Ovis aries: one gene and its partners. The protein of the gene in region 1 purifies or fractionates together with the protein of each later gene. This does not show direct contact. Links are inferred from orthologs where the notes say so. Each region holds a gene or a part of one and is shown on either strand. Other genes may lie near its edges.

Region 1 (5,380 bases):
CACCCCACTCCAGTACTCTTGCCTGGAAACTCCCATGGACAGAGGAGCCTGGTAGGCTGCAGTCCATGGGGTCGCGAAGAGTCTGACACGACTGAGTGACTTCACTTTCACTTTTCATTTTCATGCATTGGAGAAGGAAATGGCAACCCACTCCAGCGTTCTTGCCTGGAGGATCCCAGGGACGGGGGAGCCTGGTGGGCTGCCGTCTCTGGGGTCGCACAGAGTCGGACATGTAACAAGCGATGCAGCGGTGGCAGCAGGGATCCCAGAGCCCCCCACTTAGGTTTCTTCTCAGGCATTCCTGCTGTACCTCCTGGTTTCACTTCAAAGGACACCTGTAGTTTGCACCTGCCTAGATTCTCTACCACAGTCCTGACTGACCTCTGGGGACTTCCCTCTACCCTTTTCTCAATCCACAGGCCTGTTGGAAGGACCAACCTTGCTCCTGACGTCCAGCCTAGCCAATCTGGATCTTCCATTCACCTTCCTGAAATGGTTTGTTCTGGGTTGGGCATAGGATTCCTATTGGACCTATCAGAATCAACCTGCAATTTGGGCTTCCCTGGTGGCTCAGTCAGTAAAGTGTCTGCCTTCAATGCAGGAGACCTGGGTTCAATCCCTGAGTTGGGAAGATCCCCTGGAGAAGGAAATGGCAACCCACTCCAGTATTCATGCCTGGAGAATCCCATGGAAGGAGCCTGGTGGCTAGTCTGTGGACTGTCACACACGACTTAGCAACTAACCCAATAGGAAAGAGGAACAAGTTTCCCTTTCCTATCTTTAAGCTGAGCTAGAAGGAAGGGAAGGTCTCCTTTGCTGTTCTCAGCCTGACTGAAAATGAAACTGGCATAGAAAGCTACAGAGCCAAGAGATGAAGAAGTGTACCCCTAACCACACCATGTCCGTGGCTCTAGGTGCATCTTGGACTTTTCTGTTATGTGAATTAAATCATTCCTTTTTAGTCTCAAGTCTTTTAGTCTCTTGTCTGATGCCGTTCAAGTTGTTCTGATACAGGCTCCTTCTCTGTCTAAACACAGTCAGGGCCCTTGGCATTAGCATCTCCTCAATCTATCTTCAACAAAATCCTAGCTCTAGATCAAGGAGCAAAACTCTCAGTCAGGGAGCCATGGCACTGGCCTGAAAGTTGCCTCCCAGCTACAGCACTATGAGCGACAGGTGGAGAACTGCCCTGCCTCTTCCTTCAGACCTTACCCGAGGCAACATTATACCCTCTTCCTAGAAAAATGGGTTCAAGGGAATTCCCTGGTGGTCCGGTGGTTAGGACTCGGTGCTTTCACTGCCAAGGGCCTGGGTTCAATCCCTGGTCAGGGAACTAAGATCCCTCAAGCTGTGAGGTACAGCTGGCAAATTTAAAAAAATAGTAATAAAGGAAAAGAGAAATGGCGCCCTCCACTTTCACCCAGACCTGGCAGGAAGAATGATACCTGATAACCCTACCCTGAGTTTGAGCACAGGGAACATATCTTTTGACCAGCTCCCCCCATAATCTTTTGGTAGAAAACTTACTAATACTTGTGTGTTTATCCAAAACAATAGAAATTAACAAAAAAATTAGCATTGTTTATTTGTCTTGGGGAAGGGGGAGATTGGGGTTGTTTTTATTTTCATTTAAATATTCTACTTTATGCAAAATAGAGACATTTCTTTTGTATTAAAAAGGCATATTTGTTTTTCTTAAAAAGCAAAACAAAACAAAAACAGGGTAGATGACAAGTGGGACCAAGAGCAGTAGAGAGACAAGTGGGAAGTCCTGGGGTATTGGCCCAGAGTGGAGAAGTGGGAACCTGGCCCCAAAACATTTTCTCTTTCGCATCTGTTTAGCCCCTTGACTGGAGGGTGCTGACCCCATAGGGTGGGTAAGTAAGGGCAGGACAAGACAGTCCTCTGCCCAACTGGCCAGCCTGCAGGACACTGCAAACCAAGAGGAGGGGGAATCTCTGTCATACTCTCTAGGACTGTAGAAGTCAAACAGCCTGATAACTGTTGAGAAGTGGCAGGGGTGGGGCGGGGTGAGAGGCGGGCCTTGGCTCGCTAAGCCCCCTTGAGAACTGTGTCCCTTCACAGAAGCCCCTCCTCGGGAAGCCCCGCGCCCCACCCACCTGGAGTCCGCCTCTCTACCAGCGGGGCTCGCTGGGGTCCTGGGAACCCTTAGTTGGGCTGAGATCGTAAGGGACACATGGGTACCGACTCAGGAAAATATGCCCCTGCCATCGGTAGCCAGCCGGCGCAGCGCTCCATTAACACTGATAGAAGATGAGATGGTTGGATGGCATCACTGACTCAGTGGACATGAGTTTGAGGAAACTCTGAGAGATGGTGAAGGACAGGGAAGCCTGGCGTGCTACAATCCACGGGGTCGCAAAGAGTTGGACACGACTTAGCGACTGAACAGTAACTGTCCTGAGTAGCTCCGCTTCTGGCCGGCTAGGCGGTGACGACCTGCAGGCGTGGCCTCTCAAGGATTGAAAAGCTGCTAGTCCCAGCATCTACTCAAGCAGAGCCTCTCAGAGCTCTAGAGGGGAGCTCTCCGGCCTCCCACTAGCCCACCCTCCTGCTGGAGTTTCGCGCTTGCTACTGGCTCTAACCGGCAAGGGGTTTCTCTCGAATGTCTGTTCAGAACCAGCACCACCCCGTCCTCTCACCCACAGGGCCCTGCCGCCCCTTGAAAGCCCCTATGGGACAAGGCACTCGCAGGGGTCAGCGTCGGTACCCTCGCTCCAGCCTCCAACGGAAACAGCCCAATAGGCCACCACCACCACCACCTGACCCGAGCAGCCGCGGGTGACAACCGCACCGCGCCCGTGCTCCTGAGCCAGGATCCGCCTCGGCTCCTGCCCGCAACGGAAAGCCCACCCACCCTCTGCACTAACCTGGCCGCCTGGGCCCGGCCTGGATTCCCACGCCCGCCGGCTTCCACTGGACTCGCGCTGCTTCCGGGTGTGCGCGGAGCGCAGGGGCGGCACCCCAGTCCGAGCCGCCCCGTCCGTCCCGGCGTCCCGCCCCCCGGGTTCCCCGCGGTTCCTTCCCGCCACCGTCCTCTGCGGCCAGTACCCAGCCTCTGGGCAAAGCCCACCCGATCCGCTGCGCAGGTAAGACACTGGCGCCTGAGGTCAAACAGCAGGCAGAACTGCCCGCGGCAAGGGACTTCGAGGACTCGCGGTTCTTACGAGGCCGGAGGGCCCTAGGGTGAGAGCCGATCCTCTTCCTCCAGCGGGTAACGGATGGAGCAACGAGGGGGCGTCCCCTTCTGGGTTGGTCGAGCTCCTCTGATTCTACCTGACACTCTGAACTGGGTGCTAAGTTCAAGCGTGGCGGAGGGTATCAGAAACTCCCGGTACTCGAGACACAAATTCCAGCAGGGACAGTTAGCCTAGAAAATAGAAAATTGGCCAGTGGCGTCAAACGTTCTGTACGAAAACCTTTAAGCACCTTAAACTAAAATTGGCAACTTCAAAAAGGACGCACAGTCTCCAACAAAGGCCGCGCTCTGATGTGGGTCTGCGGAATTCCAGTGGAGCCTAAACCGCCTGGGCTGCTCGGGGTTCAGGATCGGAATTTGAATCCAGAGTCCCTCAGGCCCTCACAACCCCAAGATTTTCTCTGCCTCGCTGGCCTCTCATTGGAAGAATCCATGTTGTCTCCCCCAGTGAAGTGGAGGAAGGAGCCTCCCTTCTCCTTGCGTATTCAGCTATGCCCCACCCGCACCTCTGCTTCCTGATTGGCTCCTGCACCCTGCCAATTAAAAGTTTTCCTTAATGTTCCCGCCCTATTAACCCTGCCGTCACTCTCTAGTGACGGGTGGGACTAGGACCGGGTTTCTCAACTTGGGACCTGTGGCATACACCTGCACGTGTTGAAATTCATATTCCTGGGCCCTACTGTTTGAGGAGAGCTTGATTTAGTAGGTGGGGCCATGAAATCTGTAGTGTGAACAAATGTCCAGCGCCCTTTTAGAAGCCATTTCAATGGCCCTTGGTGCTTGGGCTCCATCGTTCCCTAAGTACTCAGGGTCTAAGTTGGGAGGCAAGCAGTTCAGCGATCTCTGTAAGACTAGTCCGGGCTCTCTGGCCGCCGTGATGGTGCTTTAGAGGGAGACTGGGACGAGGGGTTGGGGAAGACGTGGTGGTCTGGAGTCAGGGCCTGGGCAATGGCCCTCCAACTTCCTCAGAGAAGACTGGTTACTAGGAGAAAGATCTGACAGCATCGTCCCAAATCCGGGTATTTGGTTTTATCAACCTGGTGCGTGGATCGTGGTTGAGTTCCTCCTAATAGAATATTATAAAACGTGGATTTGTTCAACAAGTGAGAACATAGTTTAAAGGAAGAATCAGAAATGCTCAGCATCCCAGGCAGATTTAATGGGTCTGAGATCTGTGTACACAGTCCCAGGCTTGGTTTAATAGCTTGGTTACATCTCTGCTGTCACGGTCTTGAAATCCTCGATAATATTTTAAACAGAGAGACCCACATTTTCATTTTGCACTGGGCTCTGCAAATTTATGTAGCGGATCCTGGGCCCCAAGCATTTCTACACATAGGCTCCAGGTGTTCCCCTCAATACTGTGGCCTTCCTGCAGGGGGGCCCCCACCTGGCCATGGCCGAGCCCGGAGAACAGCTGCCGGAGGAGGTGCTGGTGCTCATCTTCCGCCACCTGCCCCTGCCTGACCGCGCTGCTGCAGCGAGGGTCTGCAGAGCTTGGGCTGCCGCTGCCACCTGCAGCGCTGTGTGGCACGACACGAGCATCAGGTGAGCAGGTTCTTCCCCCTCCCACCTTCTCCCAGTCTTGGTAGAGTCAGAGGTTGGGGAGATGCAGTGACTCTTCCTCATATTAAAAAGCGTCATTTCTAACATTGGCCACCTACTGTGTACCAACCATTGTTCTAAGGGCCTTACATATACCAATCTTTCTAATCCTCACAAACACTTTATGTGATGTACGGGTATTATTATTATCTCCATCGCACAGATAAAATTTGAGGCAGAGAGATTTAACTACTTCCTCACTCTATTGAGAAATGACAGGCAGAACGTGAATGCGGCTGCCCACAGGCCCCGCCCCGCCTCCTGAAAGACCAATGAGAAAGCCCATTTTCTAAAATATCCTGGCTCTCTCTGGCACGGTTTCAACTGGCGGCAGATGCGTCTGAAGGAAGGGATAGGGTTCCCTCCTAGCATACCTAGGAGTGACCAGGCACGGTCGGAACAGGGAGGTGTGTGGGTAGGGGGCAGTAAGTGGGGATGGTAACCGGAACCCAGAGAGAGGGACTTGGCCGGCCATGCCTTTTCTCCACCACTCTACCCCCAAGTTGCGATTGTGAGCTGGAAGGCATGCTGCCGCCGTATCTGTCCGCCTGCCTT
Region 2 (4,824 bases), on another chromosome or scaffold:
CTATGTATGCAACCTTCACCTCTACTGGCCCTGTAACCCTATCTTTTTGCATACTAGTTTCCACAGCTAGTCTCTAAGCTCCTTGAAAGTAAGCACCATAAGAAGCACAGTACTTGGTACAGGTGATCATTTTCAGTTAGTATTTGTTAAAGGAATTACTCAGAAGACTTGTTGTGGAAGTCTGAAGCTTAACATAATATGGATGAATACCAAAATCAATTCCCTACGATCTTTGGGTTGGGGAGGTGCTTCTTATCAAATCCTAGAATTTCATCATGGATTTTATTTTTTTATAAGGATCACTAAGCTAGGATTAGACAGTAAAATACCATGTTAAAAATATGATTTAAAGGAACTTTAAGAAAATAAGTAGAAATGAGACAGGCCCCCAGCTTTAAAATCTTACTTTTTCTAAACAGTTTAAATCTGTTAATGTAAGAGGAAGAAAGGCAATATAGCTCAAGAAAGAAATTATGACAAAATCCTCTGATTAGCATAAATCAGGGATCTTCTTGGGGAGGAAAAAAAATGTTCAAAAACAAAAAAAACTGTAGTCAGTGATTCTCAACTAAGGTAATACATTGCTCACAGTGAAGGGGATGTGAGGTTTGGAAATGACTGCTGGCTGCCACCAGTTAGTGGAGAGACAGGGATACTCACTGTGCTGCAACACGTGAGACAATCCTATGAGACCTCAGTGGAAATAATCCAGGGGACTAACATTCCCAAATACCTGATGCTGTTTCTTCAGTTTGTCTTTCCTTCTCTTCCTCCTCCTCTTCTTCTCTTTTCTCATCTTCAGCATTGAGAAGTGCTGACACAATATCATTAACTGTTTTGTAATTCTCTCCAGTTGTTAGGATTTTACTCTGAACTGTCCGTTTTACCAGGCTTCTACTAAAGCCCATTTCCAAGGCAGCTTTAACCACAGGTGTATTCATCATGACTGCATCGTCTGAAGAACTTTCTCCAGGTCCAAACTGAACAACTATTTTAAAAGATATATATTTGGGTAAATTCCATAAATATAAAAATATAGGGAACAATAATGACTCTGATATAATCTTTACTTTAGGGGTGATTATATCCTGGTAATGGAGATGAGCTGTATGCACGTTACCTATAACTCCAACCAAAGTCTGAACCTGATAAGGATCAAATGAGAGTGCAGTTACAGGCTGCTCTTATTGTTGTTCAGTTGCTAAGTTGTGTCTGACTCTTCTGTGACCCCATGGACGATAGCCCACCAAGCTCCTCTGCCCATAGGAATTCCCAGGCAAAAATACTGGAGAGGGCTGCCATTTCCTTCTCCAGGGGATATTCCCAACCCAGGGATCGAACCCATGACTCCTGCATTGGCAGGCAGGTTCTTTACCACTGAGCCACCAAGGAAGCCCAGTAACAGGCTGTACTCTAAAAAAATACCAATTCCCACACCTTAGACCTACTTAGTTAAGAGTCTTTAGGGATGGAACATAAGAATATCCTAAAAATTCCTCAAATGACTCCGTTGTACAGAGTTTATTTTTGGAAACTGAGATGCTACACAAATTTAGAAGTGAGAATAATCTCAATTCAGCTAGGAAAGTGGGAGAAATAAACAAAGACTTAATGAAAAAGATCACACAAGAGTCTGAACCTGAAGGATAGACAGGACCTGAAGAGGTGGATATATGAAGCAGAAAAAACAAAGATGGGAAGAACAGTCAAGTGGGAAGAACAGTAAAGTGGAAGACTAATTCATACAGAATACATCTAAAAACGTGATTTTAAAAAATGTGATTAAAGAATTAAAATAATGACTTCAGATAGCAACACATATTCTGAAGAAAATAAAGCAGAATAAGGTGTTAAGACAAACTAGGAAGCAGCAGGAGGACATTCAGGGTGATCAGAGAGGCATTTTCTGATAACAGGGTCTATGCCAGCCAATGTGGCACTTTTGTGAAAATTACAAAAAGACATCATTCTTCAAGATACTTTACTGCCATCTGCTGGAAAACTGTTGTATAATAAACGTAAATATACACTGTGTGTGTGCTCCCTTGCTCAAATGTATGTGGAACCCTGTCTGAATGGGTAACAGCAGAGCAAACAACTCTATGATAAGGAATGAGTGTGAGAATATCTGAAGTCTTTCAGGCAAAGAGAACAGCGAGTATAAAAGCCTCAAGTCAAGAGGAAAGCTTGATATTATTCAAGAAATAGTAAGGCAGTGCAGAGTCAGAGAGCAGGTCAGAGAGTAGGGTGAGGCCTAGATCATGTAAAGCCTTGTGAGGAGTTTATATTTTAAGTCTGCTAGAATATTCTAGGACTGATAAAACCTGATTTGTTTTTTCCAAAAAATGATTCTGGCAGCTCTGTGATAAACTTTAGTGAGGTAAAATGGAATCAGGGAGACCTGTTAGGATTTTATGACAAAAGGTGATAGAAGCTTGAATCAGGTTAACAGTGGTGACGATGAAGAGAAGTGGTAAGATTTGGGACATATTATAAAGATAGAGATGAAAGGACTTTTAATAGCTTAAATATACAAAGTAAAAGGAGGAATCAGGGATGATGTCTAACTTAAGTCAACCTCAGCAAGTGGAGACCATTAACTGAGCAGGGAAGACCAGAGAAGAAGCACATCTGAGGTACGAAGGGCAGGGAGAAAATGTTTGCTCTGGTCCTATAACTCTTGAGAAATCCATTATAAACAAGCAGAGATTTAAACAGGTGGTTGAACATGCTAGTCTGTAGCTCAGGAAATGGAGAACTACCTTTGGGCTGAATGTTGAGGGGCACTCCATCACTTAAGAGGTTTGAAAAAGGAGTACCCACCAAAGGAAATTGTTCATGATCAACCAGGGTAATGGGAAAATCAACAATGTGGTGTCCAGGAAGCCAAGTGAGGACGATACCTTAAGAAGGATACAAGAGAGTAATGATAGCAAGATTGCTAATTAAGATGTCTCCCATCTGGATCCCTACTCAACAACAATTTGGAATCCATCCAAGGACCAAAGTGCCTTTGTGAGAGGCTCTGTGATTGAGATATAAGATTCTGAAAGCCTTGTGTATTCCAAAACCAAGGAGAGCGATTTTGAGAAGACTGGCTTGTACCCAGGTGCTTGAATTCCTGACTATGGTCCCAGCAACAGACCCCAAAACAGCTCTGTATCCATCAAAATTGACAGAAGAAGGGCCTCACCTGGCAAGACCAATCAGTAAAAACTGGAAATGGTGTTTGCTCCCTCAAATGTACAGATACTATGGCCAGGCTACATATAGCATATAAATATATAAATCAGGCACATACAACACCATCAAAAGAAACTAATAAACATCCAGACTGACCTCAAAGAAATGAAGATTTATGATGTCTCACAATGAACTCAACAGTCACCTTAAAGAAACTCAATAAAATTCAAGAGAACGGTAAACAACTAAATGAAATGAAAATAACAATGCATGAACAAAATCTGAAGTTTAAACAAGAAATAGAAACCAAAATCAGAAGTTTAATCAAAAGAAAGAAAAAAGAATCAAACAGAAAACCTGGAGCTGAAGAATAAAAGCACAGAACTAAAAATCAATAGAGAAATTCAACAGACTTGATCATGCAGAAAAAAAGAATGAGAACCCAAACGGAGATCATTTGAAATTAGCCAGTTATAGGAACAAAAAGAGAATAAAAAAGAGTGACGGAAGACCACATGAATTACAGGGCACCACCAAGCAGATGAACATCACAGGAATCCCAGAAGACAGAAAAAAGGGGTAGAAAGTTTACTTCAAGAAATAACAGCTTAAAACTTCAGTTCCCAAATCTTGGGAGAGATACGGATATCCAGAAATAGCAAGTACAGAGAACCCCAAGCAAGATCAGGCCAGAGATTATTCCAAGACACATTATAGTCAAAATATTAAAAATAAAAAGACAAAGCATTTTGAAAGCAGCAAGGAAAAAATGAATTATTACATACAAGGGAACCCCCTAAGGCTATCAGCACATTTCTCTGCAGAAACCTTCCAGGCTAGGAGAGAAAGACTTAATATATCCAAGTGCTAAAAGAAAAACAAATGCCAACCAAGAACACTGGAAAATTAAAAATGAAGGTAGTCTTGTTCAGGCTTCAGAAGTAGGGGAGCATACCTCTAACCGACTTCTAACCTTGCCTGGACTACATGCCTGCCTGCATGCATGAACATCAATCATTACCAGCAAGTCAAGCAGCACTTCAGGTAAGAAAGGGAGTGGGTCTTGGATTTTTTTTTAATGAGTACTTTATGTTTGATTATTTATTTATTCATTTATTTGTTTTTGGTTGCACTGGGTCTGTTTGCTGCACAGGCTTTCTCTAGTTGCAATGTGCAGGTTTCGCACGGGCTCAGTAGCTATAGCATATGGGCTTAACTGCTCTGCAGCATGTGGAATCTTCCCAGACCAGGGATTGAACTGGTGTCCCTGCATTAGCTGGTTGATTCTTAACTACTGGACCACTAGGGAAATCCAGCCTTAGAATTTCTTAAGCCGCGGGAACCTACTCAGGCCCCCAGAGTCTAAAGAACTTTATGACTCACAAGATGAAACAAACAGCATTGTAAAAGTTAAAGAAAAACCTGAACTGCATTTTTGCATGCAAACTGTTATCAGTTTGTGGCCTAGGATCATAAGCAGGACCTCCCAAAGCTGCAATCTGAAGTCTGGCCTGTGTGGTGGATGTACTGACAGGACCCTTTCCCAGTTAGGACTCTAGACTGCTGTTACATGGGACTTCCAGCACTGTTCAATACTAGATTAACGTGGGTATTGGCCCAATGTAGAGATGTATATTGGAG
Region 3 (4,824 bases), on another chromosome or scaffold:
ATACCAAGAGAGATCTGGTGATTTGCTCAGAAGTCCACTAATGAATGGTCTCTCCTAAGCTTAATTTCAAGTTTTTCTCACTAGAATTTTGGCTAATAGCAATTCCTCTGCTTCCCTGGGAAGAGTGAATGGGCTGATGAGTAAGAAGGTGGTAAAGTGTTGAAGGCTACAGAAACATAAGTGATACCAGGAAAGGCAATTCTTGGGCCTGCTCAATGGGAGGAGAACATAGAGATGACTAGATTGTGAACATTTGCTGCTTAACGCCTAATCACAAAGGAGAAACAGTTCTGAAATACCAAGCTAAACGAAGACTTTGCTTCTTCCAGTCCTGCTCAACTTTCCCCCCAAAAGCCCCCTCCCATTTAGGCTGAGGCAGCTGCTAAAGGGATCAGGTTAGAGGCTCCCTACTCCTCTGTCCTCCAACTCTTCCAACATCTTTGGTTTTAAACTAGACATTTAACACACGGGAAACCAAAGAAGATCACCTTTACCAAATTCCAAAGTCACATTTTAAACTTGTGCTTTTGTGGAATTTTTCTATAGTTCTCAACACTTCATTAAGTTTCTGTCCCTTATTAGTTTATTTGAAAAAAAAAAAAAAAAGCTCAGGAACACAGTAACTAGAATCTGCAGCACAAAAGGGAAAGAAATGGGGATTTCCTGGTACCTGCAACTCACTGCCCTGTTCTCCTGGAGAGTCTGACATGGCCAGCATCTCAGAGGAGCCCTCCTCTGGAAGCGATTGTGACATATCTGGAATGAAATGTGACAGGGAAGATATTGGTTAAGAAAGAGGTGGCACCCAGGACAACATAAGGTCCCTTTTAAAATGTAAATTCACTGACTGCCTTGAACATAATATACTGCAGTCCACAGAATAAGGGAAAATCTTACTGCTGACTCATTCTGCCTGTATTTCAAACTTGCCAGCCTGAGGTTACAGGGTCTCTGCCTTTTGACAATTCCTTTTACATCTTCCCATGTGCAGAGAAGGTGACTAGTAGTCACCGCTATTAGGAGAGCAGGTCCATTAAGATGCAGATGTGGTAAAGGTTGTAGAGAGGAGACAATGAGGCTTGTAGTTTAGTCATTGTCTGACTCTTTGAGACCCTGTGGACTGTAGCCTGCCAGGCTCCTCGGTCCATGGGGTTTTCCAGGTAAGAATACTCGAGTGGGTTGCCATTTCCTTCTCCGTGGGTTCTTCCCGACCCAGACATTGAACCCACAACTCTTGCATCTCCTCCATTGGCAGGTGGCTTATTTACCACTAGAGCCACCTGGGAAGTAAATTAACTAAATAGACCTTGAAAACATATCTGCAAGTATTACCATTTGAAAATTCATCTGGATCTCTTTCAAGTCTCATTATTCTCTCTGAATCTTAAAAGAAACATACACATATTTGATTAGAAACAGTTGTGACATAGAAGCACCTGTCAATTTAAGACTACATTTTGCTGATTCACAGCTCTCAGGTTATTTATACCTTTTCTTAATTCTTCATAATCATAGATTTTCTTCAGCAAGCTCTTGTTGACCTGCTCACAGATTCTTTTCAGGGTGTCCAAGTTATTTTCCCCTAGGATGGTCCTCTTCTCCATCTCCACGAAAATATCAAGCAAAGTCTAGAGGGAGGAGAAATCAAGTTAGAAAACAGGATGGAGTTTTACTGACTTTTAGATTATTTTTTTTTTAATTTCCACTTCCTCCAAATTAGACACCCACCTAGCTTCCCAAGCTGATCCTCTTAAGTGGACATCCTGGTCTTATAAAGTCAATCAATAAACTATCAGGGAGGGAATTCATGTTTTCTGGCCCAAAAAGACAGAAATAAGACAGAGAAGAAGTCACCTCAGATGTCACCCAGTCCCCAGGCCCAACCATCTATGGACACTTTTATGTGAAGACAGTGAAGCAGCCCAGGCACATGGCAACAGCCCTGGGAACGGCCTCACACCCTACATTGCCTCTGGCACCCACGCACCTCCAGGCTGTTGAGGGTCCTCAACAACAGCTCAGTGACCAGTGCACTGCAACACGCACACACAGACAAACACACACACATACAGCATTACACCACAGCACAGACACACATACGTACAGACACACCATACCATATACACACACACACACACACACAAACACACACACATACAGCATTACACCACAGCACAGACACACATACGTACAGACACACCATACCATACACACATACACACACAAACACACACACATACAGCATTACACCACAGCACAGACACACATACGTACAGACACACCATACCATACACACACACACACACACACACACAAACACACACACATACAGCATTACACCACAGCACAGACACACATACGTACAGACACACCATACCATACACACACACAGACACACACACACACATACAGCATTACATCGCAGCACAGACACACATACATATAGACATGCCATACCACACACACACAGACCCACACATACAGCGTTACATCACAGTACAGACACACATACGTACAGACACCATAACACACACACACACACACACACACACACACACACACACACACAGAGTTCCAGGTCCCAGGTTTTTCAGAGACTGCAGAAGTGGGGAAATGGTCTCAGGCCCACCAGTGGCTCTCCTGGCTCTGCAGGCCCCCACACTGACCTGGGCTCCCACAACCAGCCTTTGTTCCTCACTCTGTCTTGTCCCTGATAATTAATGTGAGCAGCACCTTATATTATACAAAGGCATCATATCTACAGCATTCATTCCAGACAGCATTCTTCTCCCTTGGTTAAAAAGTGAGAATTCCGGTTGCTTTTACTGACAAGAGCTCTCTTTAGTCTCAGAAATCCCCACCAGCTGACTCACCGTCAGGGCTACACCTCGGGTGAGACACCAGGTCTTACCATGTCATCATCCAGCTTACATTTGGCAATCTCCTGGCTCAAAAAAAACTTAAAGTCCTTCAATTCCACTTTGTTCACATCTTCTGAAATCTGGAAAAGCAGGATCCTATAGGGGGAAACAGAAACACTCTAACTTTCTTCAATTATTTCCCATCTGATATATGGAGTCACGTGGACTTGGTCCTCTGGCCTCCCTTTAAAATAAAACCAGCTAATGACACGATTTATGAGCTGAGTCCTTGGAAAGAGGCTCGTGTTGTGACACTGAAGACTCATGGCTCAAGCTCAACTGTCCCACTCTTAATGGAATTTAAATTCCCCAGGGACTTCCTTGGTGGTTTAGTGGTTAAGAATCCACCTGCTCATGCAGGGGACACAGGTTCAATCTCTGGTCCAGGAAGATCCCACATGCTGCAGGGTAACTAAGTCTGTGTGCCACGATTACTTAGCCCATGCTCTAGGGCCCAAGAGTTGCAACTACTGAAGCCCACAAGCCCCAGGTTCAGTGTACCATAACGAAGAGTAGCCTGTGCTCTCTGCAACTAGAGAAAGCCTGTGTGCAGCAATGAAGACCCAGCACAGCCAAAATAACTAAATAAATATTTTTAATTTTTAATTAAAAATTTTAAAAGTTCCCCAATTTTAACTTTCAGTTAATATCAGTTGAGTGAATTGTGTTTTTCCCTTGTCCTTCGCTATAGGATTAAGATCTTGTTGCACAGAAAGAAAGAAAAGCTTTGATTTTGGATATTATTCTTTTCAAAACACACATCAGTTTTAATTATTCAATTAAAACTAGTCAGTGTTCTCCCAGCCACTCCCTTCAATAGGAAGGCCAAACACCTCCTCTTGGAACACAGGCTTTTGTGAACTGAGCCTAGTCTGCCTCTTCATCTCTGGCCATGCCTTACCACCATCTCCCCATTCCTCTCCGAACATACCCAGTTGCCCAGCCCCTCACCCTTTGAATTTGGGCCCCTCATACCCTCATTACCTTGTCCATCTGTAGACTGGCTTAAGGTGGTCCTAACCCGATGGTTGGTGTCTTTAAAAGAAGAGGGAACTTTCTCCCTTAGAGCCTCCAAAAGGGAACCCGTCATGTTAACACCTCAAGTTCAGGCCCATAGGCTCCAGAACAATTAGAAAAATGATTTCTCTACTGTGTTAAGCCTTTGGCAGGACAGACAGCCCAAGCCAGTGCCGTTCTTCTGACAGTATCTGGAGTCATGGGGATTAAGCAGTCATTGGGTATTGCAGACTGGCTTATGAAGTGAAATTGTGGAAGCTGTTTAACCTTTAGGATGATTGGTTATTACAGCGGGTGTTTCCACTGTATGGCCAGGGATAGATTAGAAATGATTATCTTAAGACTTCTCTGGTGGAACAGTGGGTAAGAATCCACCTGCCAATGCAGGGAGCACGAGTTCTATACCTGGCTGGGGAAGATTCCACTTGCTGTGGAGCAACTAAGCATGTGCAGTGAAACAACCAAGCCAGAGTCTTGCAACAACTGAAGCCCACATGCCTAGAGCTGGCATTCCACAAAAGAGAAGCTACCACAATGAGAAGTCCGTGCACTGCAAGACAGAGTGACCCCTACTCGCCACAACTAGAGAAAGCCCAGGCGCAGAACTGAAGACACACCCAGCACAACCGTTAGTAAGTTAATAGATGAACATTTTTTTTTTTAAATGGTTATCTTATACCATTAAAAAAAAAAACACACACAATTATTGTGGGGGTCCAGCCTGGCCAATCCAGAATGACTGGCAGCACACACCTCACTGAAGAACTTAGTAACACAAGCCTTAAAGTGTATAATAAAAGCCTAAAACCCTGTGGAGAATTTCATAGTCATCCACAAGTAGATGGGAGGGGTTCTCGAGTGGGGAGCTGCAATGCTTTATTTAATA

The links.
Region 2: the proteins of TRADD (region 1) and BIRC2 purify together in Homo sapiens (affinity purification with western blotting; 3 studies listed by BioGRID and IntAct, with this or other methods). This does not show direct contact. The link is inferred for Ovis aries from reciprocal best matches to the Homo sapiens genes TRADD and BIRC2.
Region 3: the proteins of TRADD (region 1) and CASP8 purify together in Homo sapiens (affinity purification with western blotting; 6 studies listed by BioGRID and IntAct, with this or other methods). This does not show direct contact. The link is inferred for Ovis aries from reciprocal best matches to the Homo sapiens genes TRADD and CASP8.

What each region holds. Positions count from the first base shown.
Region 1 is NC_056067.1:34,365,056-34,370,435, forward strand, and holds the start of TRADD (tumor necrosis factor receptor type 1-associated DEATH domain protein), read right to left. Parts: upstream 3,714-5,380; 5' UTR 3,487-3,713; intron 3,392-3,486; 5' UTR 2,892-3,391; intron 1-2,891. Other genes in the region: FBXL8 (F-box/LRR-repeat protein 8), read left to right, coding at 4,617-4,768, 5,329-5,380. UniProt on the Homo sapiens protein: Adapter molecule for TNFRSF1A/TNFR1 that specifically associates with the cytoplasmic domain of activated TNFRSF1A/TNFR1 mediating its interaction with FADD.
Region 2 is NC_056068.1:6,029,001-6,033,824, forward strand, and holds part of BIRC2 (baculoviral IAP repeat-containing protein 2), read right to left. Parts: intron 989-4,824; coding exon 734-988; intron 1-733. UniProt on the Homo sapiens protein: Multi-functional protein which regulates not only caspases and apoptosis, but also modulates inflammatory signaling and immunity, mitogenic kinase signaling, and cell proliferation, as well as cell invasion and metastasis.
Region 3 is NC_056055.1:203,629,929-203,634,752, reverse strand, and holds part of CASP8 (caspase-8), read right to left. Parts: intron 3,018-4,824; coding exon 2,912-3,017; intron 1,629-2,911; coding exon 1,490-1,628; intron 1,384-1,489; coding exon 1,333-1,383; intron 757-1,332; coding exon 671-756; intron 1-670. UniProt on the Homo sapiens protein: Thiol protease that plays a key role in programmed cell death by acting as a molecular switch for apoptosis, necroptosis and pyroptosis, and is required to prevent tissue damage during embryonic development and adulthood.